Neodiprion lecontei: one gene and its partners. The protein of the gene in region 2 purifies or fractionates together with the protein of the main gene of each other region. This does not show direct contact. Links are inferred from orthologs where the notes say so. Each region holds a gene or a part of one and is shown on either strand. Other genes may lie near its edges.

Evidence for each region.
Region 1: the proteins of armadillo repeat-containing protein 8 (region 2) and ubiquitin-conjugating enzyme E2 H purify together in Homo sapiens (affinity purification with mass spectrometry; 3 studies listed by BioGRID and IntAct, with this or other methods). This does not show direct contact. The link is inferred for Neodiprion lecontei from reciprocal best matches to the Homo sapiens genes ARMC8 and UBE2H.
Region 3: the proteins of armadillo repeat-containing protein 8 (region 2) and E3 ubiquitin-protein transferase MAEA purify together in Homo sapiens (affinity purification with mass spectrometry; 5 studies listed by BioGRID and IntAct, with this or other methods). This does not show direct contact. The link is inferred for Neodiprion lecontei from reciprocal best matches to the Homo sapiens genes ARMC8 and MAEA.

What each region holds. Positions count from the first base shown.
Region 1 is NC_060264.1:30,548,974-30,555,877, forward strand, and holds the start of ubiquitin-conjugating enzyme E2 H, read left to right. Parts: upstream 1-1,690; 5' UTR 1,691-2,258; intron 2,259-2,264; exon of another isoform or gene 2,265-2,903; 5' UTR 2,904-3,431; coding exon 3,432-3,484; intron 3,485-6,904. UniProt on the Homo sapiens protein: Accepts ubiquitin from the E1 complex and catalyzes its covalent attachment to other proteins. E2 ubiquitin conjugating enzyme that transfers ubiquitin to MAEA, a core component of the CTLH E3 ubiquitin-protein ligase complex.
Region 2 is NC_060265.1:17,570,077-17,582,138, forward strand, and holds armadillo repeat-containing protein 8, read left to right. Parts: upstream 1-2,994; 5' UTR 2,995-3,247; coding exon 3,248-3,274; intron 3,275-3,409; coding exon 3,410-3,483; intron 3,484-3,872; coding exon 3,873-4,317; intron 4,318-6,034; coding exon 6,035-6,216; intron 6,217-6,582; coding exon 6,583-6,892; intron 6,893-7,230; coding exon 7,231-7,522; intron 7,523-8,450; coding exon 8,451-8,977; intron 8,978-9,102; coding exon 9,103-9,269; intron 9,270-9,667; coding exon 9,668-9,704; 3' UTR 9,705-10,417; downstream 10,418-12,062. Other genes in the region: islet cell autoantigen 1-like protein, read right to left, coding at 10,911-11,030, 11,158-11,806, 11,879-12,062. UniProt on the Homo sapiens protein: Component of the CTLH E3 ubiquitin-protein ligase complex that selectively accepts ubiquitin from UBE2H and mediates ubiquitination and subsequent proteasomal degradation of the transcription factor HBP1.
Region 3 is NC_060260.1:13,757,965-13,767,613, forward strand, and holds E3 ubiquitin-protein transferase MAEA, read left to right. Parts: upstream 1-1,943; 5' UTR 1,944-2,146; coding exon 2,147-2,185; intron 2,186-3,806; coding exon 3,807-4,218; intron 4,219-4,740; coding exon 4,741-5,053; intron 5,054-6,097; coding exon 6,098-6,407; intron 6,408-6,680; coding exon 6,681-6,782; 3' UTR 6,783-6,935; downstream 6,936-9,649. Other genes in the region: equilibrative nucleoside transporter 1, read right to left, coding at 9,095-9,270.

The DNA.
Region 1 (6,904 bases), on a different chromosome or scaffold from region 2:
TTTTAACAAGAATATGTGTTTTTAAAATTTCACTGTGATTATATATATATATATACGTATACGCATCCTTACTTCTTTCTAGACTTTTGAAAACAACTTAAATTGTTTTTTACTAGGGAATAGTTAGCCAGAAAAAAAATGAGGAAGAAAACGCGTTTTTAATAATTTGAAGACAGAACTTTTAGTATTGTGTCATTACGTGCGTGTTTGATAACGATACTAGCAATTGTCATAATTGAATTGAATTCTGTTACATACATTCTGTTAATACATTTAAAATCTGTAAAAAAAAAATGGACGAAACTCATATTTCATAGTTAATTCACAATTTGTAAAATATTTCATTTCGGAAACGACCATATATGTATCGTATGTTTTGTAATATATTTTTCTTTCATCCTTGATAAAATGGAGGAAAAGAAGAAAAACGAAGCTATTAAATATCCGAATTATGAAATTTTGTAGTCTTGTAATTTACGTAAATTAACGTCAACCGTTCGACTAACACACGATGGGTTAGGTTAATTTATATTCTCTACCGGTAGAGTAAACGAAGTGACTTGAAGTGACAAATTAAAAGAACATCTAGCACTTCAATGATTCCGTACATTGGCTGTTCGGCGTTGGGCAACAGAAATATTGCCAATAATAATTACAAAACTTGTTTTGTGTTTCAAAGACCGCAAAAGACTATTAGTGTACGGCCTAAAAATATTACCTTAGTATAGCATTGGATTCCGAGCGCTGTCAACGATCCAAGTCGAAACTAATCGAAATAACGCTTCTCGGCGTGGGTTCTATTATTTGCTATCAATGGTATGAAAACTGATGAAAACCGAGCAAAAGTCTGAAGTGCGGTAAAAAATCCAGGATTTTTACGGAGAAATAAAATGTCCGATAGTCCTGAGACTGTTGGCCGTCAGCCGTATCTAACTAGGAGAACCTGATAAATACAAGGGGGCTATATTTAAATTGCAATTCATCATTCCAAACCAATTATCCGTTATTCCGAAATACGCTACAGGGTATTACGTCTATTAGGTTTACGGGTGGTAGGTTCGTTATAGCTTTTGCCCAACAGCCACCAATTTCTAGAAAATAATAGGGAATATTCGTGGGATTTGTTCGTACCCGTAATAGCTACATAGGATGTTACTGCACATGAGGAGTTCTGAAGGTAGCTTGCGTATACAGAGAGTGTAGCGGAGGAGTGAGAGAGAAAGAGGTATATGTTTGTTATAATCTATCTCTCTCGCTCCACACCTGATTGGCCGATACGTTTTCTCTAAGCCAATCAAAAGCAGAGTGAGAGACGCAGAGTAACCCTACACACGCCCTAGTATATATCTATCTCTCACTACTTCCGCTGTATTTTTCGCGAGATCGATGGGATGATCAGCTCTCTCCAGTAGTATATGCTCTAAGGTGGAGAATTCCTTCCCACCTGCTGGCAGCTGCTGGCGCCACCTTTCAAAACAAGTTTTGAAGAGAGGAGAGAGAAAAAGGACAGATACATGCAATCTGCGGATGGTGTGCGTGTGTTTGTGTGTGTGGTACACAAGCAGCCCACGATACTGCATGGATACATAGGTATGTCAACGTAGGAGTGCGCAGCGTGTTCGCGCGACAAAGAGCTACACGACCCCGTCGATTTGGAGAGGGATGGAGGCGCGCGGTGGTGGGATGCTAGGTGAAACAGTCAGTCAGATGCGCCAAGTCAGAGGGCTGACAGGTCGCGGAGTGCGAGTGTGAGAGCGAAAACGATGAGAAAACTGTAGTAGAGTTCTGGAATATGGTATATGTGCGACAGGCGAACTAGAAAGAAAATAAGACGAACAGGTTCGAAGTGCAGTAAAATTGTGTTGAAATCGAACTGGGTCGGGAAGGCATAATAAAGAAGAGCCCGTAGCGAATTTTGAAAAACCTCGCCTGCATACATAATAACTAAGGGAAAAACGGAGCGCGTATATGTGTATGCATAGATCGTCGCGTCGTCGTCGTGCATCGTGTGTAACATACATACGAACGTACACCGTACGTACGTCGGGTTAAAGAAAATCAGCCCACCAATCAATCCTCGTCGAAATGATTATCTAGCATTAGCGTAAACTCGTCGTTCTCCTGTGAGGGTTGCAGTGGAGTTTGGTGACAAAGAGGAATCGTTCGGTTTTACGCTACGTGCGGACTGACGGTTTTTTCAATAACCTAGGCCAGCTAGCTGGCTAGCCACTTCGATAATTACGTGGATCTCGTTGTCGGTAAGGGAGATCGCTTCTTTCTTCGATAGTGTTTTCTTTTCACAAAAAAAAAACAAGAAAGAAAAAATCACGTACACATATCTTCTTTCCGATAAATAGTATAGATAGTGAGGTATACATAACGCGACAACAAAGGAACGTCAACGAATCTCAATCGCTGTTGGTATCCTCTGGCTGCGCATAGGTTTTAAAATATACGCGTGCATACATTTGATGTATACATACATTAACTAACTCTACCCACACATGAATTACACATGAAACTCGGACGTGTTTTGTTTCTGGCTACGCAGCTGCTCGATTCTTTGTCTCCCTCTTTCTCCGTCTATCTATCCTTTTCTCGCTCACAATCAGCGGATCACCCTGCGTGAATTTACTTGCATTGTCGATCGTTTTCCCCGAGTCGCTTCGTCATCTTTAATTTTCTTTGCTTTAATTCCAATTCTCAATTTTAATCATTCTTCTCTCTTATCTACTTGGCTTCTGCGTCGCGACGTGTTTTTATACTCCTTAGTTCCCCTCCTCACCGCCTTACTTCACATCCCACCCCCCACTTCTTCGCCCACTCGTAGAACCGACCGCCCATGTGTATAAAGTTGTGATGACCGCAAGGTCTGCTGCAATTTCATGATTTCATCAAACCAGGTCGTCCTACCTTAGTTAATTAAACGACGAGAGGGTGATCAATTGTCCACCAAAGTGTGATTCAGTGTGCTCGGATTATAACAATTCACAAATTTACAACGTCAATGACAGTTCGGAACAACGTGAAGAATAAAAATAAGTGAAATAACCTAAAGTTCAGTGTGCTGCTGCGGGTTTTCGGAAAATCTGGCGAACCTGATTATTGAAATATTGCTAACAGTAGTGGAGGTGAAAAATACCTAAAGAATATATTTCTTTTTATCCGTCTAATCGTGTAGACAGTGTTAATGTTACGCCGAACAGACTGGAGGAGAAATATAATCCCCCCGATCGTGTTTACCGTCATCGTCGCTGTCACATAAGCAGACCCAGCACTCGATCGGCAAGCCGATCTACCGATACGATAAAAGTTTTGGATATTTATTTATTTATATTTTAATTTCTATTTATTTTAGTACATTTTTTTCCCCTTCGTGTTTTGGTTGTCGTCGTTGTTGTTGTTGTTGTTGTCACTATTAAACAAGAAACATGTCGTCACCAAGCGCTGGAAAACGACGTATGGACACCGATGTCATCAAATTGTATCCTTGACTCATAAAACATTGCCAGTATACATGATGCATAATATGTAACATACTGTAGAAAATAATAATTATTATTGACACACGTGTTATAAATTGCGATACACCAGACGTTGTTAGAGAATCCGATAAGTCATTCATTCGACGTTTCGTCAGTAACGCGTCCATCCGCATGCATCCACGTACCTTTACACATGCATACATACATAATACCTATGTGTAAAATAAATTATTCATTTTAACCATGCTCCGACCTCTCGTATATCCTTTCATACTTCCAATCACCATCGTCCTTCCTTTCTAATCGTCTTCGTTTTCAATGCGTGTAATTTCGTTCAAAATTTTCTCCAATTTCATCATCATTCACTCATGTTTCCTAACCAGTTTACATGCCCGTCGATATTAGGGGGCCCCAGTTGTTACGCCCCTGGTGCATCCCCTCCTCAACGCCGTCGCTAGTTCTCCATCCCTCCTTTTCTGTCTTTCTCCGTCTACCGCACAGCTGTTTTTAACAACCAGCTGATTGCTGTACACACGAACATGTATAATACGTGCCTCTTGTACGTGCACGCGTTTAAAAATTTTTATCACTTCAGAGGTCAGAAAATCGAGAGTAGTAAGAATAAGAAAACACAAATTCGACGTAATTTCTTGCAGGATGCATAATTTTTACAATTTGCAGATAGTTTTTAAAATCCTTGTTTCTTTTGGAACGAAGTTCCTTATCGCTCGTTCACCGTAGGGGCTAGGCGGAAAAAAACGACACCAAAAAACCGACACTTTTTGGCTATAGTGCTCGTTTGCTATAGTGCGCGCGATCTCCCTCTCTCTCTCTCTCTCTCTATTCCAGCGTGTGCGCGCGCTCTCTCTCTCTGTCTCAGCGCTTGGGGTGGGAGACGGCAGCAGCGGTCTCTCTCACTCACAGCGCACGACTATACTTCGCCCCTCTTTCTCTCTCCTACAGCGTACAACTATACTTTGGGCCGCAGCGCGCTCTCTCACAGCGTACGTCTATACTTTGCCTCTCTTTCTTTTTTTTTTTTCTTTTTTTCTGGCGTATTCCAAAAACTTTCTCTTTTCCCCCGTTCTCTAGCCTATTGAAAGTTTTCTCATTTTCAATTCTACGCGAGCGATTCAACTTTCATTTTATTTTCAACCTTTTCCGCCAAACCATGTTTTCGCGATAGTCTTCATTCTGTTTGTTTCGTCATTCTATCACTTTTTGCTTTGCTCTCTGCCATTTTGAAATCGATTCTCAGTTTTTTTTTTCTCTCTTTCACTACTGTTCGCGAAACTGGCGGCTGCGCTTTTACCCATCTCGTAACACGAATGCAGAGTGTATGTATGTATGTATATATGTTCAGGTAGATGATATTATACGGTCATACAGCTGTTCTTAAACAGCTGATTGAGCGGCTAGAATGTACATAATAAATATAACGCGCGCTAAAAGGAAGACGGCATATTAACCCTTGGAGTTACAGATTATTGTGCCGAGTCAACATTTGTAACAAGACAGTATTATATGTTTTTGGGATCGCTGATTACGAATCTGAAATTAGATTTCACAAATTCAAGATGGCGGAGCCAATATGGCGGCCTAAAATTTCAAATTTGACAGAATCCAGTTCAAAAAACTATGCAGGAGTCTTCGGGGTCGCTGATTAGATTCGTGGTACTGAATTTTCGAAATCTGGTTTCACATTCGTAATTAGCGACTCCAAAAACCCCGGGACAGAGTTTTTTTCTCCGGATTCTATTGAGTTTGAAATTTTCATTCGCCATATTGGATCAGCCATTTTGAATCTTTTAAATACAATTACAGATTCGTAATTAGCGACCCCAAATCTTATACTTTATGTTAAACATGTATATGTGTAGAAGGATGTTTCTTAGAAATCAATTATTCCTTCAGTTTTCAATATTTTTTTCAATCAATTTATTTCTAATAATAATAACTTACATTGTGTCGCAATAATTACTCTCGAGAATTGAAAACCTATTGGTATACTATTAGAAATAGTAAAAAACCGCAAAGAAACATGTTTTCAAAGTTCTCTAAATATACAAAAAATGGATATAAAATAGGTGGTAAGAATACTTACCACTACGACTCAAAGAATCAATTCGCGGTCGTCGTCGTCGTTGTTTTAGCACTTTGTCTAACGCAACGGAGATTTTCGTTAGCTTCTTTCCACAGTTTTCTCTGCACTCTAAGCTATATCATATGTATATGTTTATATATGCCTTCTGTTTACGAAGTCTCTGCCCCCGCTTTTCCCTCCTTCTCCCACTTCCACCCTCGTTCGTCGACCCTCTGCACATTCATCGCCATATAATGTGTTCGGTTATCATTATTGTTGTTATTATTATTACCTTATTCCATTTTATTTTCTCTTGTCGTCTTTCTTGGGTTTTTTATTTTATTTATTTTTTTTTTGTTTTATTCTTTTTTCTGTTTTCGCTCGTATATATTCGGGGTATGCTTCAACGTGCAGGTTTCTCGCTCCGCAAAGATCAATAACGGTTCTACAATTTTACACGTCGAATCGTTTTCTCTGCCTGTTCTTCAAGCCAGTTACCTCGATTTTGGATGGGGCACGACTTATGCTAGTTCCGCGAGGTAGCAAAAAACGAAACATAACAACACTTCCCTTGCATAATGCGTGCGGTGATGTCTGCGGCAGATTTAACAGTTCTTATTTATTCATTGAATTATTTATTTTCTTCTTTCAATTATCAACACCTCGCGTACATGCAGTTCAACCGTGTTATGTTTAGTATAATTATTAAAGGAATAGGCAAACAGTCGCAATGTGTACAAACATGTAACGTATCATGTCATTTGGCAATTTTAAATCAATAAACCGAACTTACGTTTATTTTTTTCGAATAACTTTTACGGTATACACGTACGCATGTATATTATACACGTGATAACTACACGACGTGTTATATACCCTTAACTATGATACGTCAACACTTCTTTATCGACATTCTGCGGTACGCGATTTTTAAAATACGCTAAAACGCTGGGGTAGTCGATCATTATTGTTCGTTATTATTGTACAACGATATGAAACAACTTTTCTTGCGGTCCTTGAGACAAGAGAGTTTTTCATACTTCCGAGAAAATATTTTATTATTTTACTTTCCGTTTTTTCTTCAAGCTTTATATGTATAAACATATTTTGACTCACAGAATCAAATGTTAAAATCGCGAGTTTAGTTTCCGGTGAAAAATGAATCGATAATTCGATGGTTTCGGAGTTAGCAAAGAAAATATATAATAATTCACCCCGCTTGTCCTCCTGTCCACCCTTGTCGCACTCACAACATCAATCATTATTTATACGCTATACCCATCGGAAAGATATCGTCATTCTGAGTTTGAGAAACGCTCAAGTTTTTCATTTTCAC
Region 2 (12,062 bases):
TACCGATGACTAAAGATATATGAAGATCGCCAGCCCTAAGTTGTGTTTCATAATGGTTTGTGAGGCACCGTTGACTGAATATAGTCTTCAGTCAACGGAGGCAGTAACGGGTACGGAGGTAATTCTAGTACTCTGCACGTACCGACGCGTCTTACGAGATCCCAATGGAAAATCGAGTCAACAAAGATCGGTCAAATCAAAAGATTCATCATTCCACAAGTAAATTACTTATGCCATACTTATAAGGTATTCAAGTTATCGTTGACGAATTCGGAGACTGATAATTTTGTTGCAAATTTTAGATTTCCCGTTAACTGCTCTGATCGAGAACATCAATAATAAAAATAGTAATAATAATCCTTTATTAAAGTGGTTCGTTTCACCTAAGTATCGTATCGGATGGGTGTCAAGCTAGGACCCTATGTAAAATTGCAAATAAGCGACTGATTCCTTCAGAAACTAAATTCATATGAATTCATAGGATTGATGTAAATAATATTGCCTCAATTAAACAATATTTGAAAATTATGTTAGAATGCCTTGTATTTTAAGTATATTAGCAAAGAATCGGTGATTCCGTAAGTCAGTCGCTTAATACCTGGAAGTAAGAGTAAAGTAGAGCAGGGCGTTGGCAGTGGTAGATAGAAACACCCGCATTTGCACGAGGGATAATGGAAACTGCCGAATACCTTGTTCAGGTGTAGCCAGACCCCAGTCCAAAACACCGACCAGCAATGCAGCGCCTAAACAGCGCGATCCGTTTTACATTTTTGCAAGTACCATTCAGGAGCCAATCGGTAGGCCGGGGATTTGAACTCGAGTCCTCCCGCTCCGCAGTCACGAGTGTTAGCACCTGAGCCAATACGGTCAGTATGGCTCAACGTCGTAAGAAGATCTGGCGAAAATCCAAGAAAAGGAGCGACTGTTTACTCGCGTCACCTTATAGTGCGTTTAAGGGCCCTAAATCATACTACTGCGTTCTTGAATAGAAAGAAACAAAGATTGACCTCCACTCTCATTCCACTCTAATCGCTGTCTCTTTCTACCAGCCGACCATATTTTGCGCGTGTTCGGAAATTGACTGAAAGTACTGTCAGTACTGAAAATCTACAGTATACGTCACTTGGATTTTCACCATTTTCAGTAATGACAGTACTTTCAGTCAATTTCCGAACACGCCCTTTACTGGTCTAGGCATAGTCCATACTATGGCCATACTATACGCCAATGGTGACGGAGGCATCTCTCGCTCAACCCCCTGACACTCCTGTTTTTTTGAGTCCGTCTTAACCACGGTCTTACATACAGGGCCGTGTTCGACGGTCTCTTCTTTTTGATGAACTTCTTCAAAATGATAGGAGCGCATGCGCAGAACGTACTTCCTGCTGCGCGAGACCGGCACATGCGCAAATTATTACAATGAGGATATAACCTCAACACCTGGTAAAATGTGTCAACAAGTTATGTGTTTTACCATAACTTGTTGCTTCTGAGACATCTTTTGTTCTAGGTATAAAGGAAAATCGCCAGTGAAAACAATACCAACAGTGTTCGATTCGTGGTTTGACCAATTTACCCAGGTTTTGAGGTTATATTCTCATTGTAATAATTTACGCAAGTGCCGGTCTCGCGCAGCAAGAAGTACGTTCTGCGCATGCGCTCCTATCATTTTGAAGGAATTCATCAAAAAGAAGAGATCGTCGAACACGGCCCAGGTCTTGAAACTCATCGAAATTTGCGAGGTGAGGGAAATACGCTTACGCCGCATTTTTGGTTTTTCGACGCTGCCGCTAGTTCGCACTGTCGTAAGGTAATGTTTGCAAACACAACCTATAAATTTCCCAAATTTTCCAAATGTACTTAAAGATGTTTTCAAGTATATCATTTAACATTTACCTCGAGAATTTTAGAAACAATATAATTTGATGGAGAATCTTTGTTGATACTGCCCTGCAATTTTTCTATCTCTTTCCCAATAACCTTACTCTACCACCCCGCCTCTAGCGGTTCCAACGGGAATTAAATGCTATTTCTCAAGCGTTCAGCCCCCACCACCAGAGTTTCCAGACCTGTATGTAAGACCGTGGACAGAACTAACTCTGTCCTTCGGTCTCATTCGGTCTCTGCTTCAGTAGCCACGTAAAACCGCGTATCCTATCACTATAAGTCTATGGGACGGATGCGTTCTCAGCAGCCCCCTGACACTCAACACTGCTCATATACTAAAAAATTGTACGCGTTTTGTCCCCGTTTTTTAGTTCCTCTACGTGGCGCTAGTAGACTTCTGACCACGGTCTTACATACAGGTCCGGAAACTAGTAGGGTAGGGAATGACTCAGATAATGAGGCAAAACCGTGGTTCTCGTCTTCGCCGTCTGCAGCGCTGCCCCCTCGGGGTGAGCCAATCATAAATCAGATAAGAACAGCTGATTTTTCGGAATCAACAATCCTGAATAACACTCAAAACTGATGAAAGATGCGAATAAAAATGATTGAGATGTTTATTAGCATTCCATGGCGGGCGTGATAATTGTTTTATTTTAAAGGAATTCTCAAATGTTTAAGTCAATAAAATCCATAAACATCAAGCGAGGGCTCACAACTTTTGAGACAGTTTGAGATCTTGTGTAGATGATCCACCGTTTACACACTTTACACTGAGTTATGAACTGTCAAAAACTTCGATGAGCAGGTTATCTTATCGGTATATATTTATATCTATCATAGCCCGGGCCAGTGGCGCCCCTAGCGGATAGATAGGAAACAAGACCGTGTGCCTCACTACCGGTGACACCCCCTACCACTCAAAAGTGCCGGAGTTACCAGACCTGTATGTAAGACCGTGCTTCTGACACGCTCGCTGCTCTCGCTGACCGCGCGCAAGCTTGTCAGACAACTACTAGCGTGACTAGTGGTGGAGATCGGCGGCAGAATCGAGGGACATTTTGCGAACCACTTTTAGCAGCGTGTGTCAGGGGGCTGGTTCACAGAGATCCATGTTCGGCAGACGTCGTTTCTTGTGCTCCAGGCTTTAAGTCAAACCTAGTTCGTATGCGGATTAGTTCACATATTACCGTCACGCTTCAATGCCAGACATGGCTAAAAGTTTCGTAACCTTGTGTAGCAGAAGCGCGTTTACGTCTACGTAAAAATAATAATAAATTATTTAAATACTCCATGCGTCAAATGGCGATCTGAAAATATCTTAATCTAAAGAGTAATAGTGTATTTACTATTTTAAAGAGCCATGGTCTCGTTGATGCAGCCGTATATGGTGAGTATATCAATACAACAATATTGCCTGATACGTGACAACCGGCCTGCAACTTGACGTTTTCACTACTTGTATCTTGAATGTCGATGAACGGTTTTACTTCGATTATTCAATGATATGTCATCGCATTTCTAGGACGTTGAAAGTTCTAGAAGCTACATCGACGAGTTATATTCTCCCAGTGGCCAAAAATGCCTGGAGGCTATTATGTGAGTATCTATAAACGATTTTTTCAACTATCCTAACCTCAAAACGTCTCATCGACATAAAATATCTAGTCTCATTTCCCATCCATTAGACACTTACATGTCATAACTTGTCATATATTATACCTTACTTCAAGTACCCCTGAGCAATATTCTCTTCTTTGTTAAGAGTATTTCTTCCATGCACAGCTTTATAAAATGTTTTCGTTTTCCGGGACTGTTCTTACTCTACAATTCCATAAATTTATCGATCATTGGAAATGACCAACAGCAGCGTTTTAAGTCATACATGAGCATTCAACCTTGTGAAATAAACAAAATTATTTCATGATTTATCCTCAAAGCAGGTCATTTACATCAATTTGTCTACATTTGCATTTAATTTTCAACAGCTGCCTAAAAAATTCAGTCATTGGAAGCAATCGGCAAAAGGGTTCAGTTATAGCGCAAGGCGTGGTGCCTAGACTGCTGCAGTTGCTAAGTGACTCGACCGGAAGAGTAGGAGATCGTGTGCGGCTTGAATCTGCTGTTACTTTGGGTTCCCTAGCGAAAGGAACTGATCAGCATGTCAGAGCGCTCATAGAACTGAATGTAGTTCCACTGTTGCTGCAAGTGCTGCTGGCCAGCACCAATCGTTGTAACGAACCTGACGATGATAATCAAACACCATTGGTCGAAGCATGTCTCAGATGTTTGAGGACCGTTTTTCACCACACAGCAGCCCCTGTTCATGCTATATATCAGGATCCTGGATTGGTTCCACGCTTATTGGCACTAGCTTCTAAATCTGTTACCAATCAAGTGTGTGTTGCTACCATTTTAACAGCAGCGTGCAAGGTACTAAGGATTATTCTCATTCACGTTTATAGTGCTGATTTTTTTTCACTTTTGCGCTACATATTACTACGTGTTGCAATGATGCATCATATCTTTCTCTGAAACTTCCTGTGATCAACCCTCATTAATCGAAGAAGTCGAAGTTTGTAATGGTATTGTTATAGTACATTTTTGGCAACAGTAATTACTTCGTAACATTAGGATTAACTGAAATTCAGTAAACTATAACATAGTATTAAACTGATTATACATTACAATTTAACATCTTCTAAAATAGTCTGAAGTTCCAAAATTAAGATGATCACCTTTCGTTATGGTAGCATTAATAACCTTCAACCTCATATTAATGAAAAACTGGTTTATGTGATTGGTTTTAAGTGCCTGTAATACATGTTAATCTCCTTCCGTGGAATTTTTTAATTCTATATTAGTGCAATCTTTGCAGCATTCTTTAAAGCTTTGTCTACAATATGTAGCTGAATTTTTGTTTTTGCTTACTTCTTATCAACTCAATCCTGGTATTTTTAATTGGTATCTCTGAGTTTTTGTACAGTGGTTGTATAGATCTTCATACAAATCTTGAAAGTATAAAACCATGTGTGTATTCATCAACGATGTCACTAAATTTTTGCTAATATTGCGAGGGTTTCTAAAGGCTTTTTATGAAATCCAGAGTTTGGATAAGCCATGAATATAGTCATAATAATATTGTTGCGATTATGCTAAACATTTCTTTGTCACCCATATTCTTCGGATATAGTTTATCCAAACTCTGAATCATCGATAATTATATTTCTTTACCTCAATGGGAAAGCAAAATTGGAACCATTAGCTTGAATAACATTGTAAGGCATACTTTTTGAAATTTTCAGGAAAAGCTAAGAAGAGTAATATTGTCAGATTATAGCCAAGTACGAAATAATGTTGCAGAATTTGTCATATTCCATATCGTCATACGTTTTTTCCCCTTTTCACTGTGTTCTGCCACTAATTCATCTTATAATTAGTCGACCACTGCGATAATACAATCGACAGAAGTTGCAATGTGATTCAAAGAAAAGTATTAAACTGTGAAAGCTCTACTGTAGAGCAAAACACGATTTTGAGATATTTTTCATTAATAATTGTGAAAAATGCATATAACTTACGCTCACTTTATATGTATGGATTAGAGTAACAATTACGTTTCAAAATTTGTAAGTTACAACGTTATACAAGCCAATAATTCATCTAAATCAACATATTTTTTCCCCATCTTATTATCATCTGAAAGTAAACAACATTAATATACAAAAATTTTTGAAGTGAACTTTCTCGATAACGTATATGAAAGAAATAAATTTACAATGAGAAAAATTAATGGATGACCATGGGAATCGAACCCGGGACCAGCGGAAGCCTGTCCATGGACTTATACCCACTGTACCACGAGGCATCCCCGCCGTTGTCACGTTAATCGTTCTCGTCTAGTATTATTGTTGTGCACATTGATAGTATTGTGTATATGTGGTTGATCGACTTTACTCCCACTTATACTCATTAGGTGCATGCGACTTTGCCTAACGAGTATGAGTGTGAGTAAAGTCGATCAACCATACATACACATTTTCAATGACAACTCTACATACTTGTTTCAAACCAAAGTCTGTACCAAATGATAAATATGTTTCTGAACTCATTGATATGTTTGATTCATTTATGTATAACGCGACAGCAGACAGCTGAAGAGCAGAATGCACTATCCCGAGGTGGAGCTGTTGGTGCGCTTGCAACGCAGCTAGACTCTCCTCTTTCTGATGTTCAACTACCAGCTCTCGCCTGCCTTGCAAATATGTGCTATCAGAATCACACGGTATCTGCACTAGTTGCTGCAGCTACAACCAACAGCTCTCAAGGCAGGTCAGTTATACCCTGAATTAATCAGATTGAGTAATTTGCAGACAATTTTAGTCAGTCACAATACTCTCGTAATTTCATCATAGATTTTCATACAACTCATAAATATTTGAACTGTTTTTATATTTTCATTTTTTCCAGTTTCTTAACAGTAATAGAATAAATAGTACCCAAATTTCAGTAGTAATATGATTAAGTAGTATGAAATATTTGAAGTACTATTTGCTCTAAAAACCGTGATCTGAATTTGTAAAACTAGTAATAATGCATTCCTGGTTAAATATATTGGATTTTTCGATATCTGGCATTCTTCTATGCCTGCAATTACACACTATGTTCTTTGTTATATTTATCTTATATTCTGAACAGAGCCGTGCCAGTTGCATTGGGCCAGCTGATGGGTCGCGAAAGAAGCGCACTAGTCCAACTCGAGGCAGCTCGGTGCGTTGCATATATGCATAGAGCTGGCGCTTTGACTTCGACAGATCCACGAGTTGTATATAGGGCACTGCCTTGTTTGGTAAGGCTTTGTCATCGAGAAAGACCTCCTAGAGAAAGAGTGGCTGCAGCAGAAACACTCGCGTACCTGACCGAAGTCGACACGGACCTACAACGACTAGCATCTATTAGCAATCACCTTATATCCAACCTTGCAGAATTGCTGAAGCCACATCCATCGGTAATTATGCTAACAAATTATTCCAATTTTGAAGGCTTAGTGTATGTGCAGTAAGATTATTATAATACAAACTTTTTCTAATATTTTTACTCGCGCACCCTGTAAGAATTCTTAATTTTCATAGTTGCAGCGTAGTCGAAGCAAAAAAACTTTTTATGTCATTTAAGGCATCTTGTTCGTCAAAAAAAAAAACCTCAGAACGTAATTGGAGCATTTTAGACACTGAACTGAATATCTGTACAGTGATCCTTACACGTATCTATTCAATAGACTTGTGATCAGCTTAACTAAGTTTTGAACATGCAAAGGTGAAAATTACATTACATTATTTCTTGTAGGTGCTAGATGCAACGCTTTCGCAGGATATGCGCCAAGCGGCATTCAGAGCATTTGCATCTTTGGGTGCAAATGATGAAGATATTCGTAAGAGGATCATTGAAACAGAGAACTTGATGGAGCAGGTGGTGGGCGGTTTGCAAGATCCCGGTGGACCACGAGTACGACTTGCGGCAGTTCGATGCTTGCACTCGCTATCGAGAAGTGTGCAACAACTGCGCACCACATTTCAAGATCACGCAGTATGGCGACCACTTATGCAACTATTACATGGAGCAGACAGAGGACTAGAGGGTACGAATGCTAAGCGCAATAAGCCTATGATATATGGAAAGAGTGCCAGTATGTTACGCAAACGATACGACACATCGTATAGCTACATTCCGGTTCGCGTTGGCCCTTGAAACTCCACAGTCGGTAATACATTTAAATTGGTCTTAAGAATTTTTCTATAACTCAACATGATTACTCAATTTAGTTTTACCACCATTAAAATATCTAATTAGCGCTGGTAGGAGTCACATTTCTCTTTTAGTGACAATTTTGCTAAGTGTGTATTCAATTTATGCGCGGTGCAGGTCGCATTTGAATTTTGACAGTTGGATTAATCATAGTGCGCTATTTGTCATCGAGTTTCTGTCATTTTATCGTAATTGAGCTTTACAATTGCACAAACTGCGTCAAGTACCTGCAATTAACAAATATCATTGTAAATTTCCTGACTTTGTCCTATATTTGTCGGCCCACGAGCTTAATCAATTTTCAACAGAGCCAATTTTTAAAACTTTGAGAAGGCCATGAGAAAAAACAAATAGAAATTGTTTGTTTTGAAGACTGCACTCACGACAGGGTTTTACAACATAAGGTGTAAATAAACTAATTAAAAGTAAGAACGGTAATCAAACGCACACCAAAAACATAACTAATTACCAAATTTTTCCAATCTCCATTATTTTGCTATAAATCTTGACTCATTTTTGCAAAATTGCACCTCTTGCTTCACTATTTTGAGAGTTTTCTGCTGCCAGCCCTGAGTATTGAAAAATACTCCAATACACATATGTTTATTGAAGATTTGTGAAAGAGTCATTTAGAAGTTGGAGATGCAGGGCATGAGTCGCGCCATCATCTCAACAGGGAACCGATGTACTGCACTTTATTCCAATCAGTATTGTTTTGGTTCCCATCGCTCTTGGTTGTATTACCTATATTACACCATTAGGTAGGGGATTAGAAGGCGAAGAGGACTTGCTAACTGTGGCCTCTAGCACCCTGTGCAACCTGCTATTGGAATTTAGCCCAAGTAAGGAGCCTATTCTCGAATCAGGTGGAGTGGAGTTGTTATGTTCATTGACCAGGCGACCAGACCCTGCGCTACGCCTAAACGGTATTTGGGCGCTGATGAATGTGGCTTTCCAGGCTGAACAGCGTGTCAAATCGCAAATCCTCTCTTGTCTCGGTACCGATCAAATATTTCGTCTACTTGCTGATCCGGAATTGGCTGTTCTAATGAAAACACTTGGCTTGTTACGAAATCTTCTGTCAACAAAGGCACACATTGATCGTATTATGGCAGAGCATGCTGCCCACGTGATGCAAGCTGTCATTCTGGTATTGGAAGATCCTGAACACCCAGCTGATGTCAAAGAGCAAGCTCTGTGTATTCTAGCAAATGTCGCCGATGGGGATCGCGCACGCGATCATATCATGGCAAACGAAGACGTCTTGAAGAAACTCATGGATTACATGGTTTGTGCATACATTATTTACTCCGTTTCTTTTCTAACAAAACCAATTCATATCACATCATATTTCTAACTATTGACATAAAACAAATAGAAATATATCAGTATTAACGATCTTAATGTCTTCAGATGCACAGTAATGTGAAGCTACAAGTGGCAGCTATTTTCTGTGTATGTAATTTGGTCTGGAGGGAAGAGGACGGGGCTGCGCAACGTCAGGCACGATTACGCGAACTAGGCCTTTACCGTATTTTACAACAATTACGACACACCAAGGACTCACAGCTATTCGAAAAGTATGTACATGTACATAAATATAATCACTAAAATTTTCGGCCTTTACGACCTTTATTTTTACAACGACGAGAAATTAGTTATGATCAGTTGAAGATAATGAAAGATAATGAGTTGCAATCCTCCATTCACTTACATAATTTACTTTGTCAACAAAGGCTAACACTTTCAATGGGTTTGACTTTTTCGAATAGTTCAAAAAAATTTGAGTACGAGTTGTTTTTACTCTATGATTTTATATCATGCAGAATCATAAATAAAAAAACAAATATTTAAGATTTTTTATTATGAAATTATCCAACTCGAATAATACGAGAAACAGTTCCTTAATTTCTTCAAATATCAGAACAAACTTCTAAGTCAACTTTTTACTGAAAATTATATTTATTTTTCGTTTCAGAGTAAAGGCTGCCATGTCTCAGTTTACCGATGCTTGAGTACAAAATCGACCGACTGATTCAGTTACGTTACCAACTAAAACGGTTTTAACTCCTTAAACCTCCTTCGGCAACCGTAAAATTCACAAATAACAATCAGTCACTGTAAACTCAAATCCAAACCCAGCCCATACTGTGATCGTTTATGTACTTTTATGTGCTCCCTGTTTGTAGATTAGGTGCTCAAGATTTTAAAAAAATCTCGCTTTAAGCTATGCCTGTGAGTAAGGTCTCCCTTCGTATTTCTTTTTCGTACAATTGATAAAAAGCTTTTAATCAATTGAATCAAATTACTGCAGATTTGTTTGTCTTTATAACATTTTTCGTCCTGGGAGTTTTTACGATAGTAACATTGAAACGAATCCCATTGATATCACACAATATTACAAACTGATCATGGTAATACATTTTATGGAATGACAAATGTGAAATATCAGTTACTACCTTACGTCAAAATGTGAAGGATCGTATGGGTAACTGATGCATCGTGAAATAGCGTAACGTCATTTGTAATACTTTTATTGTGGTCAACACGTCCCTTTTCATAATGGATTTGACAGGTGATCAGTACAGTACAGAAAATATCGAAAAATTTGTAATTAAATTAAATTAATTTAAACCCACACAACAAAGAGTGGTCTCGTATTTCTAGGAGCCATTTTTAAATAATAAATTCCTGTAAAAATGTAATAATATATTATTATTAAAAATTACGATCAAATCCGTAGAATTTTGAATGTAGTCTAATACATCTAAATATGTATAATACGATTATTTTCGGTAGAAACTCTTTGGTATAAATTCCTCTGTGTTTAAACATTGTACGAGATTCGTGAACATATTTCACTAATTTTTTTTATAAACTGCTATGCTCATCTCCATGTCGGAATGTTCGTTAGTAACGATAGATACTTCAATTAAGTACAAATAGACATATAGGTAACTTTTAATTCGGTTATTTTTACTTACATTATAGAGATTTCTTTCAATATTTTGCACTCTCAATAATAATTAAAAGTTACATTTTCTAAAACTAAAAGTATAATTTAAATTTAAAGGATGCTAAATGACTAGGAATAATGGCCATATAATGTATTCAACAACGGCAGACCTGTAACGCCGTATAAAATTAAACATGGCCACATCATATAAATAATGACGAATTACTAGTTCAAATATTTTATATATATATATAAAAACGTTGGACTAAGCAGGGGCATTTCTATCGCTGATTAGACTATCCATCGGATTGTTGGCAAGTGGATCTAACTCAGCAAATAAGTCCAGCCAAGAGTTTCCTGTTTTATTTGATTTACTTTTGTTCTGCTGAAATGAAAATGTTTGGCAATTATTACTTAGTGAATAGCAATAGCAAGTCTCGAAAATTCAATGCTTGCTATAGAAGCAAGTATTATTTTACTAAGATTAAAATTTATTTCGTTTATGTGCTCGCCTTATTGTCGTTGCTTGCGCTAACAGGATCTTTCTGATTTGTACCAAGTGTGGCAGCTCCTAAACTCTGTTTCAATATACCGGGTGGTAAGAAAGTATCACCAGACATCATTTCCCAATCATTGGCACTCGTAGTAGGTGTGGTATTTAAAATTTCTTCAAATAAGGCTACACTTTCTGAAGTTAACAAGTCAAGAGGTGCTTGCGGTTGTTGTTGTTGAGGATTAAAGAGTGGAGAGTTGGTAAAATCAAAACCAACACCAGTGCCAGTAAATGAATCCATTGCCAAATCCAGCTGTGTCAGACTTTCATCCAATTTTACTTGGTCTATCTTTTTTGCAGATTTCTCTTCGTTCAATTTCTTGGTCTGTGGATCTATGTTATTAAAGAAATCAGCAAGCTCCTTGTCTTCGGTGCTGTTTAAAAAGCTCTGAAGACCTTTATCTCTGTTCTCATCGTCAGTATTCAAATTCAATTGTGAAAGACTCAATTCCGTATTGTCTGGAATATGCGAATCATCTCCAATATCCAGTAATTTTTCATCATTATCTTTCTCGATGTTACCTGCTTCCGTTTTCTTCTCATCAGTTGCTTTCACTTCTTGAGCTTCCTCCACATTGTCATGATAGTCAGACTCGAAGAACAATAATCTATAATATCAATATAAAACCAACAGTTTTTGGTAGAAGCATTTAGATTACCTAAATTGCTAGTTCACTCACTTATCTTTGTCATCCAGATCCTCGTTGCCGCCTGTTTTTTGTGCCAGTTTGATAGAAGTCTCCGCAAGTTCCTTTACAACCATAAAATCGTACTGTTGGTAGCCCTTGAAGCTGTTTGCAATTGTTGCATATGCTTGAGCAGATTTTTTGGTAAAATTCAACAAGGTACTTTGGTACAGAACAA
Region 3 (9,649 bases), on a different chromosome or scaffold from region 2:
AAACCAAACTCAACGATCCTCGACAGCAATGTAGGTATGTCAAGTATTATTTCGCACAGTGCGAAAATGATCGGACGCGACGAACGAACGTACGTACGTTTAATGAATTATAAATGAATCATTTCTTCGGTAAAAGTGTTCTCTACTCAGTCGTACAATTAACGGTATAGTGTAACAATGAAGGAGGCACGTGGTGTTGGTATCATACATGCGTTCCGAACTCAAGTTTGAAATTCAAGTTTCAACAGACTCGTTTTTGTTGTCCGAAATTAACACAACTAGAAATTAAGGAATTAAAGAATAGAACAAATGATGAAAAGTTATGGCCGAAATAGTCTGATCGTCATTGTTGAGAAAGTTGCCACAATTTCTTCTTCCATGGTAACGCGAATTAAAGACGTCGATTGGCCCGATATTAAAGAAGCCAGTGAAGTCGTGTTTAACGAGTAAACTACGGTGTAACAGAAGCAAAGATAGAGAGAGAGCGGGAGAGAGAGAGAGAAACGAGAGGGGAGGAGTGGTAAGGGAGAACGGAAGGAGGGGGTAGATAAGAAATAAATGTAAAAGGTAAAAGTTTGGCGAAGAAGGAAAGCGACAAGTGTAACGTAATGGCGATAGCTGGCGGTTAGGCGATGGTAGAACGCCGCGGCCGTCGGTCGAATAGCCGACAAGTGCGCGTATTAAGGGGGAGGAATGAAATAAATGCGCGTGGCTGCCGAAGCGTCTCTACTCCCGCCATATCAGCGACGTAAACCACGCATCTTTTCACGAACACGTAACACCCACGAATGAATTGGAGCGCAGACACGCGCGCTTCGGATATTCTTCGGCTATAGCTAGGCCACCTATCTGTGCATCTATCTACCCGCCTGCTTGCCCGATGCTTATTGCGTTTGCCTGCGAAGAAAGACGCATGGATGGCAGAGCGTAGGCATCCTAGCCAGGAACCCGGTAAAACTATCGCTGATTATGCACCGGAATTATGTAGGGATTTGTCTACGTACCTCTTTCTAACGAATCAATCATTCGCCGAGATGAGTGACGGTGTAATATTTCGCCGTTGGAGAATCACCCTTCGAATCACGGCACACAATGTTAGTCGGGCGCACTTGGCGTTTCGGTGTTTGGTCCCGGTTTAACCCGAGTTTTTCTTGTTACTTTGGGCTTTTGGTTGCACAATTTGGGCCCAAGGGTCCCGCGCGCCCACCCGACACCCCGCACTCGCGAAAGTCACTCAATTGTCAACCGAAATAAGTAATAATTAACAGAGAACGCTTGCGAAGCACGGCCGAGCGACTCTCTCCCTCACTGGAGGAAAATGGCGGCCCCCCCGAGCGAGTAGCGCGCGCCTCCGATCATCGCCGAAATAATACGAACGACTGAATTACAAATGTTGTCCAATGTATTTTCACCGTTCGAATATCCGCCGATCGTCAAACCAGCTATGGATGGATGTTCGCCGATACCCCTTCCGACACGTTTCGCAAACCACGCGATTTTTATTTCAGAGTATTTTCAAACAGGATTAGCCTCGCTCACGTCGAAAGCTCACTCATCACTCGTCGTTTATATCTTCGTAAGCAACGCGCTGTCGTTTCGATGCATCGGGAAGTTGTGTCGTACGGATTTGTTCTTTCTACGTGTAGTATGTATAGGTATGTACATACCTTTCGCTTGACCGCAAAACTGTATTGTTTTTAATTGATAATTAGTATCACGCAGATTGACAAATTGGTAATTGCATCACTGAGCAAGAGAGGTAATTCAGCGGCAACAATTAACACGTTTCAAGTGACGATACAAAGCAGTTGTACAACGTGGAGATGTCGACTGGCAATCTTTCGAATGGCGCCATCTGTTCGAGAAACACAAATGTTGCAAGTTCATTATTTACTCGCGTGTAGCACCAAGTTAGGCGAAACTGCAGTCAAGTCTTGTATAAACGCAAATCCGTAGCATAGTCTGTTTGGAGTGTATGGTCCGAGGTCTGTTTACACCAGTCAGCTGGAAGATAATGGACGGGTTTTGATTTCAGCTACTAATGCGTAGTCCGTCAAGGCGTTCCACTGGCAATTCTTTGACACTACACGACATCAGAGAATAATTTGAATCAAATTGGAGCGATTTAATTCGAAGAGAATTGAACATGTCGGACGTTAAGAGCTTGGAGCACCCAACTTTGAAGGTAAATAAGCATGTTTCGTCACTTCGAAACGTCAGAATTTATTATGATGGCTGAACCTGAATCCTCTTCGAATTCATCAAACTCGGCTACACGATGGGAAAATTTTCTTCTTTCAGACACTTATAATATTCAGGCAAACAAAAAAGGTTTCCTTTTACAGCCGTTATCTGAACTTCCCAATATTGTTATCGTTTTTTATGAAAGTATGATAAGATTGACGAATAATTCTTTGAATAACTGTCATACACACCCGCGTAAGAATTTTTTTTCTCGCCCAAAGGCAGACTTCATCTTTGCATTGTTTTTTGTGTAAATCACTCGTTTGTAGTTTGTGATGGTCAGTCTTACGGTAGTTTTTCTTTCTTTCTTTTTGTCATTTCTTGACAAGTAAATACTACTTTCAATTTATGGTGTATCAAAAACATGAAGAATACTATTTGTATTCACTTACTCAATGCCATTTCTACCCTGTCTGAATAATGTATTCACAGTTGATGATAACGCTATTGTCGAGGTACACATGGCAGATCTGATTTTTTTTTTTTTTTCTCCTATTTATAACTGAAACAATTTATTCCCTGCTTGACCTTGGATTACTACAGCCGATTACAATTCGTACTTGTTCTGTATTGTCAAGATATTTTACGCGCCTCGTATATTCTTATTTTGATGTAAAATATCAAGTCCACAGATTGCAGACCATTTATTATTAATAATACTATTTTGAAATAGCTGAATTATAAGACATTTAGAAATAACACCAATTATAATTATTTTTCGCTTTACACTCAGCTTATCCCATTTTTATATAAAACTTCGACACATTATCATTTTCATCGTTAAAACACACTTAGAATAACAACTATTTTCTGCATCCTACATTAGAACTTCAAGCATGAAAAATATTAGACGTACTTCGAATGATGTTAATAAAAAAATTCCGGAATCTCTGTGGTACTGAGCATACCTTTTTTATTTAATCCAAGATGATTTTTTATTCATTTTTCCGAAGGATCGATTTTTTGGAACATTTCACGCTTGTCTATCGTTGTTTCTTCGTCCACACCTTCAAGATGTTTCTCAGAAATTTGTCCAAGATTAACGAGAACTAGAGAACAAAAATTTTCACTGGCTTGTGTTATTTAAATGACAAAGTAATGATTCAATTAACGCATAGCTTGACCTTCTCCTCTAGCTGAGATATTGTCAAAATTCAGATATAAATATGTAAGACATACAAAATGTAAAAATTCACAAATAGCATCATTTTATTCCCATCAAATCATGTACCGCATGCAATCTCACGAATTATAATATCCTGCACTGATTACAGGGAGACGACACAATGGATGAACAGTTTTTGTCAACAGATTCTTATACAAAAATGAAAAAATCTGCATTTAACAATTGGTTTGGCTTGTAATACTGAAAAACAATCGATTATTGTCAAAAATTGTCAAGAGAGAACTTCCTATAATTCCACACATCACTCCAATATTTTCAAAGATTGATTAAATTTTGTATTTAGTTTCCAATTATTGAACAAAGCTTACTGAAAACCGATATCAACAATACAAGCTGTGTGAATATCTGATCCAATTTACAATTAATTGTGTTCTAGGTGCCGTACGAGCTATTAAATAAAAAATTTCGATCAGCTCAAAAGACTTTGGATCGTGAAGTTTCTCATGTCCAGACAGCGGCAAACGAATTGGAGAAAGGATTAGTGGGAGAATCAGGGGGGGTGGCCAGCGGCGAAATAACTCGTCTGTTAGGAGGTGTTGTAGCTAGACTTCAAGTGCTCAAGCGTAAAGCACAAGAATCAATCGCAGAAGAGCTACAGGCTGGTATGGTCTGCAAAAGACGACTGGATCACTTGAAGGAACATGCCAATACAGCGCCAAGTGCTGTCAACCAGTGGAGAAGACAAAGACTGGACAGGATGCTGGTTGAATATTTCTTACGCAAGGGATACTATACGACTGCCACCAAGTTGGCTGATAATAGCGAATTAAGGGATCTGACTAACATTGGTAAACAGTAATGTTGTCTGAAGGATAATTCCTGACTATTGAAACACGTACTGTAAACTATCTTTTCCTTTCTGAAAAATTCGTGCAATTATAAAAATACCTATGTAATGATAATCATATTTATTTTGTACTTCATTCATTCCGCATTCTTTACCAGTTTAGGTATTAGCTATTTTAAAATGACTCAATCGTACAGAGGTGACATTCTTGATTTTACCTATTAGTAGAACGTTTTTTTAAGAACATCTGTAATTTTTAACCCCATCATTTTGATATCAAAAAAACGAAGTAAAAATTTTACTTTTCCACAATTACTCAAGGCCTTGTGTGGATTGGTGATCAAAACATGCCAACGAACTAACTCTAATCTAGAAAGAATGAAAGTTAAACTTCAAGATTACATATTGATCTTTATCACATCTTTAATATAAAATCTCATTAATCTTTTAACTTAATTTTATTTTAGTACTTTTAAAATTCCCGTCATACCAGACTTACCTTACCTCTTCATCTTTATTCCAGATGTGTTTATGGTATCAAGAGAGGTGGAAAAATCTTTGGCCAATCATGAGACAACAAGATGCTTGGGATGGTGTCATGATAATCGGTCCAAGCTGCGCAAGCTGGGCAGCACTATGGAGTTCAACGTACGTGTACAAGAGTTTGTTGAATTGGTACGAGCAGATCGTCGACTAGATGCGGTAAAACATGCCAGGAAGTGCTTTGCCAACTATGATGACTACCAGCTTCAAGAAATTCAGTGCTGTATGGGGCTATTGGCATTTCCAGTAAACACAGAATTGAGTCCTTATAAAGATTTGCTTGACGAAAAAAGGTGCGATTCATTAATTGGTTCAATTAGATTCTAGAATGTACCTTGTTTTAATGTTATTTTAGTAACTTTTCGATAAATTCAGTTTTATATTACAATTTGTGTTTCAGTTTATTCAGAGTTTAGATTATAAATGATTGTATTGTTATTAATTTACCTAATTCGGATTGATCGTAAAAAAATTTTTTTAAATCTGTAAATTGAATTTGATATCGATGTTTACATGTAGAATTCTCTTCGATGTCTTATATAATGTTTATATTTGCCATCAAGTCAAGGTAGTAATCACACGTTTTTTTAATCGATCATCCTCCAATATTTTCACTCGAACTATGCGACTCCTTCCGAGAGCATGCGTTAAGCATCTCTATTAATAAAATCAAGCGACTCCTGATATAGGAAAAGAAAAAAATTAAGACTTCAAAGTTATAATTAGGCTAATGTAACATAAGTAGTAAATACAGGGACCCTTACTTTTCGTAGCACTTGAACTCGAAACAGGTTTTGAAGTTGGGGCCTTGATTCGAAAGGATAACTGGCCAAGAAATTTGAGTTCGTATCTGAAGAATAAGTGATGTTTACATTTTTTTCCACCTCAAAACAACTTGCCTCCCCTGATTAAAATAATGTAAGTTTTGACTAGTTTTTGTGTTCTTGTTTGTTTGCCTATGTGAATCCTGAATATTCCAGGTAATTAATAGTACTTTTGTTCCAAAGGTGTGAACATTATTATTCGTCATAATAAGCGTAAAGTATCCACGCAAAATGTTCATGTTTTGCAGGCGTCAAGTAGCACTTTATACCTGCTAAGACGATTTCCAAAAAATCTGAACCTTTCAGCGTACTTCACACTTCCTATGGTGGAAAGTAAGTTTCTTGAAAAGGATTTGCAGTTTAGGTCGAATTGTTGTAGGATGATCGACTAAGACAATATATGCTAACTATCCTAACTCAGTCCCCAGTAGGAATAAACATTTTCATCAACATCGACGTTTTCTTCTTGTTTCTTTGCAATAGTTTTAATCACAAAAAAAATTTGTTCTTCAGATGGGAAAGGTTGATTGAACAGTTTCGCCATGAAAACTACAGGCTATTTCAACTGGCTAGTCAAAGTGTATTCACTGTGGCATTGCAGGCTGGTTTGTCCGCTCTTAAAACTCCACAATGCTACAGCGTTAACAGGGAAGGCAAAAATCCGAGTTGCCCAGTTTGTAACGAGGCATTAAACGAACTTGCAACTACTCTACCTTTTGCTCATTGTTCGCAATCTCGACTTGTCTGCAGTATCAGCGGCAAACCACTGAATGAATACAACCAACCAATGATGATGCCTAATGGATATGTATATGGTGAACATGTGAGTTACCCCGGTTTTCATTTTTTTTTTTTTTTTTTTCCATCCATAATATAGTGAATTAAATTTTTTTCTCGATTACGAACATTTGTAGCAATGTTTTCACTTTTTGGAACCAGGTCAAAGCTTTTGAATCATTTCAGTCACTGAAGAAAAGAAAAGGTCGAGTTGCGGAGACATGCAATAAATAAAAATTTATGGCGGCAATTGTTAATACAAAAAAAAAGTGTAAAGTAGATTTAACCAGTATCGTTGCTAAAAATGTAATATTTACAGGCTTTAGAGAAAATGGCACAGGAAAACAATGGAACTGTCATCTGTCCGAAAACCAAAGAAGTATTCCCATATAAGAAGATTGAAAAAGTTTACGTCATGTAAAATACTCGTACTATAAATATTTTCAAGTGTATAATATAAAGTAGAATCTTTTTTTTCTCTATCTCATTCTCTCATGTGAATTTTGAATAAAAAATTATCACTTCTTGTATGCTACACCTTAATCGTAAAATAAAATCTATTTTCAGTGAAAAATTATAGTTTCTATTTCAGCGAATTATTCTCCACGACATACAGCGTTTATGCTGTCACTATATTGGATATTTGTGTGTACAAACTGTATCACATGTATTGAAGATTCCTGTGTTTGAATCACAATAATGCAGAGGAAAATGCCATATTATTAATCCCGAAGAGTGTTGATTTCGGTTGGGAATATTTAATTTGATCAGAAATTCGGTATGAGAGTACTTCAGACTGTTTTCGCTGAATAGCATCTTTATGTTCAATAAATATGTAAATCATCATGAAATTACCGTAAATTTCATTTGTTATGAGTCATCTCTTCCTTCTCTTAACTACATATGTACATGAAACTCAACATCCTTCTGTTTGCTTGTGCGGATGTTACCTTATAACTCCAGAATTACTGAACCGACTGATTCTTTTTTCCTATGGATAGATTATATTTTTTTACAACCAGATCAATAGCTTTGGCGATATAATAACATTCGTAAGCCAAGGCGGAACAGGACTACACACTTTTGTGACTGCTGACTGAACTCTTACAGATAAAAAACATTATACTCCAGTGTTTTCAAGGTGTCAATGAACTCTGTTAAATAGTAGCGAGAGCATGTGTCTATGTCTAATAGTTTTGCCACAAAACGCATTGGAAAATATTCGTGGGTGTGGCCGCAACGTGTTGCTACTTTATAATATCTTAGACAAATGAGTCACAAACTCCAATATCTAGTTGAAGAGTACAATTTCGAAATTTTCAGGTGAGTTGAAAAATTAACGACGGAGCCAGGAATCGAACCTGGTATCTAGAGATGCTTTACCGGAGACTTACTCCACTAGACCACCTAGCCGCCCTGACTACATGTCATTAATTTCTCTCATCACCTGTATTTCAAACATTGTTCGTTTTCGTGTGCCCTTGAATATATTTACATTTAAAGTTCATCACGATAGCACATATTTTGACTTTGTGTGTGAAGCTTGTTGACATGTGCACACATGTGACGTCTGTATGTGGCTATTAATGTGAATTACATTAATTTAGCAATTTTGAACGGCGGGCCGTTCATTTTTGCTGATATGAAATACAACATATCATATTTATAGCGAGAAAAATTTGCTAGTTGAAGAGTACAATTTCGAAATTTTCAGGTGAGTTGAAAAATTAACGACGGAGCCAGGAATCGAACCTGGTATCCAATATCACCAATGAACCACAGCATGACACTCAATTGTCAGTTTCAATTATGAATTCTATACTTCGTTCATCTTTGCTAGATTTGCTCGAAATCATGGTTCGCAAAAACTTTGTATATTTTTGAATTCCAAACGGTTTGACTCAATCTTTTGATTTTAAGTACAAATCAAATTTCAAAAAGTCTAAGCAGCTCATTACATTTTATACACATCTTGGAATAATTTTTTATGTATTCATAATTACCAAACTTGAGACTGTTGTTTAATTGCCGAAGAGAGTAGGAATACTAAAAAATGAGAAAAAGAAGTTCAGTGAGAAAATGTAGCAACAACGATGCCAACCTTACATAAGGCAAATTACATGTATTCAATGTTATTTACAAATCGGTGATTGAAGCTGGGTATAAAACTAATTAGGTTCTGGAAACAGTTGTTTTTGTAAGTTTAAGCATGAAGAATGTAAAATACGCCGCTAAAACGCTTCACCGTAATGTAAGTGGAGAATTACGTGTTTGAATTAGAAGGTAAAAATATCTCTCTACATGTTTTCACTTAATTAAAATGTTTGCTTACACTTCGCCATCGATTGTCTTGACTACATTGCAGACTTTGCGATATTTTGGGTCATTGATATAATCTATTTCACAACGGCTCAAATCAATGGTTTATTTCGTGGTACAAACAAATTACTGTCACAATGCCGAGCTGGCATAACTACAATTCAATGTTCCGTCGTAAAATCTTAGAACCAGTTTTTCTCAATTGAAGTACGTAAAAAGCAATTTGGACAGGCACATCTGAAAACGAATTCTATCGTTCTTGTAATAAGGCAAGAATATGACGTTAAATATAATTATTGATGATAAATTACTATACATACTAATAAATGTTGATGACTGACAGATATGTCCTTAAAGAATGATAATATATGCGATGACATTCAATTAAATGATGACAATATAAAAATATTTGGCCTAAATGAAACTGGTTACTAATCGTACACTGTACACATACACATATTTCAGTAATCGAAGTGATTCAAATTCATCCATCAACAGTTCTCTCGTTTTTCTTTCTTCATTTTTATTGTCTCCATTGCTTAATATGAAGGATTGTCCCCCACGAAAATTAAATCCATTAGAGTTTAGTCCTGAAGTGGCCAGGTGTAATATGTAAAAAGTAAGCTCATATAAAGTTGATTGAAATAATGAAAAGACAAGGTGTATAATTGTATACATAAAAAAAAAGTATTATTTTACCAAGTATCAAAGGTCTGCTACTGCAGTTTGTAGAGTATATTAGTTATACGTGTAATTGTACATATAGTTCACAATAAAATATAATATTGTCTGGCGCAGCCAGGATAGGAAACATTGACGTACTCAGTACGATATAACCGGTGTCTGATAATTTCAAATGATTATTCAAACGATTTGACAATTTTTAGTTCAAATTTGATCAAAGGTGTTATTATGATTATAGTGATGGACTAGATATACATCTATGTATATTTACTGATCGAACTTCAG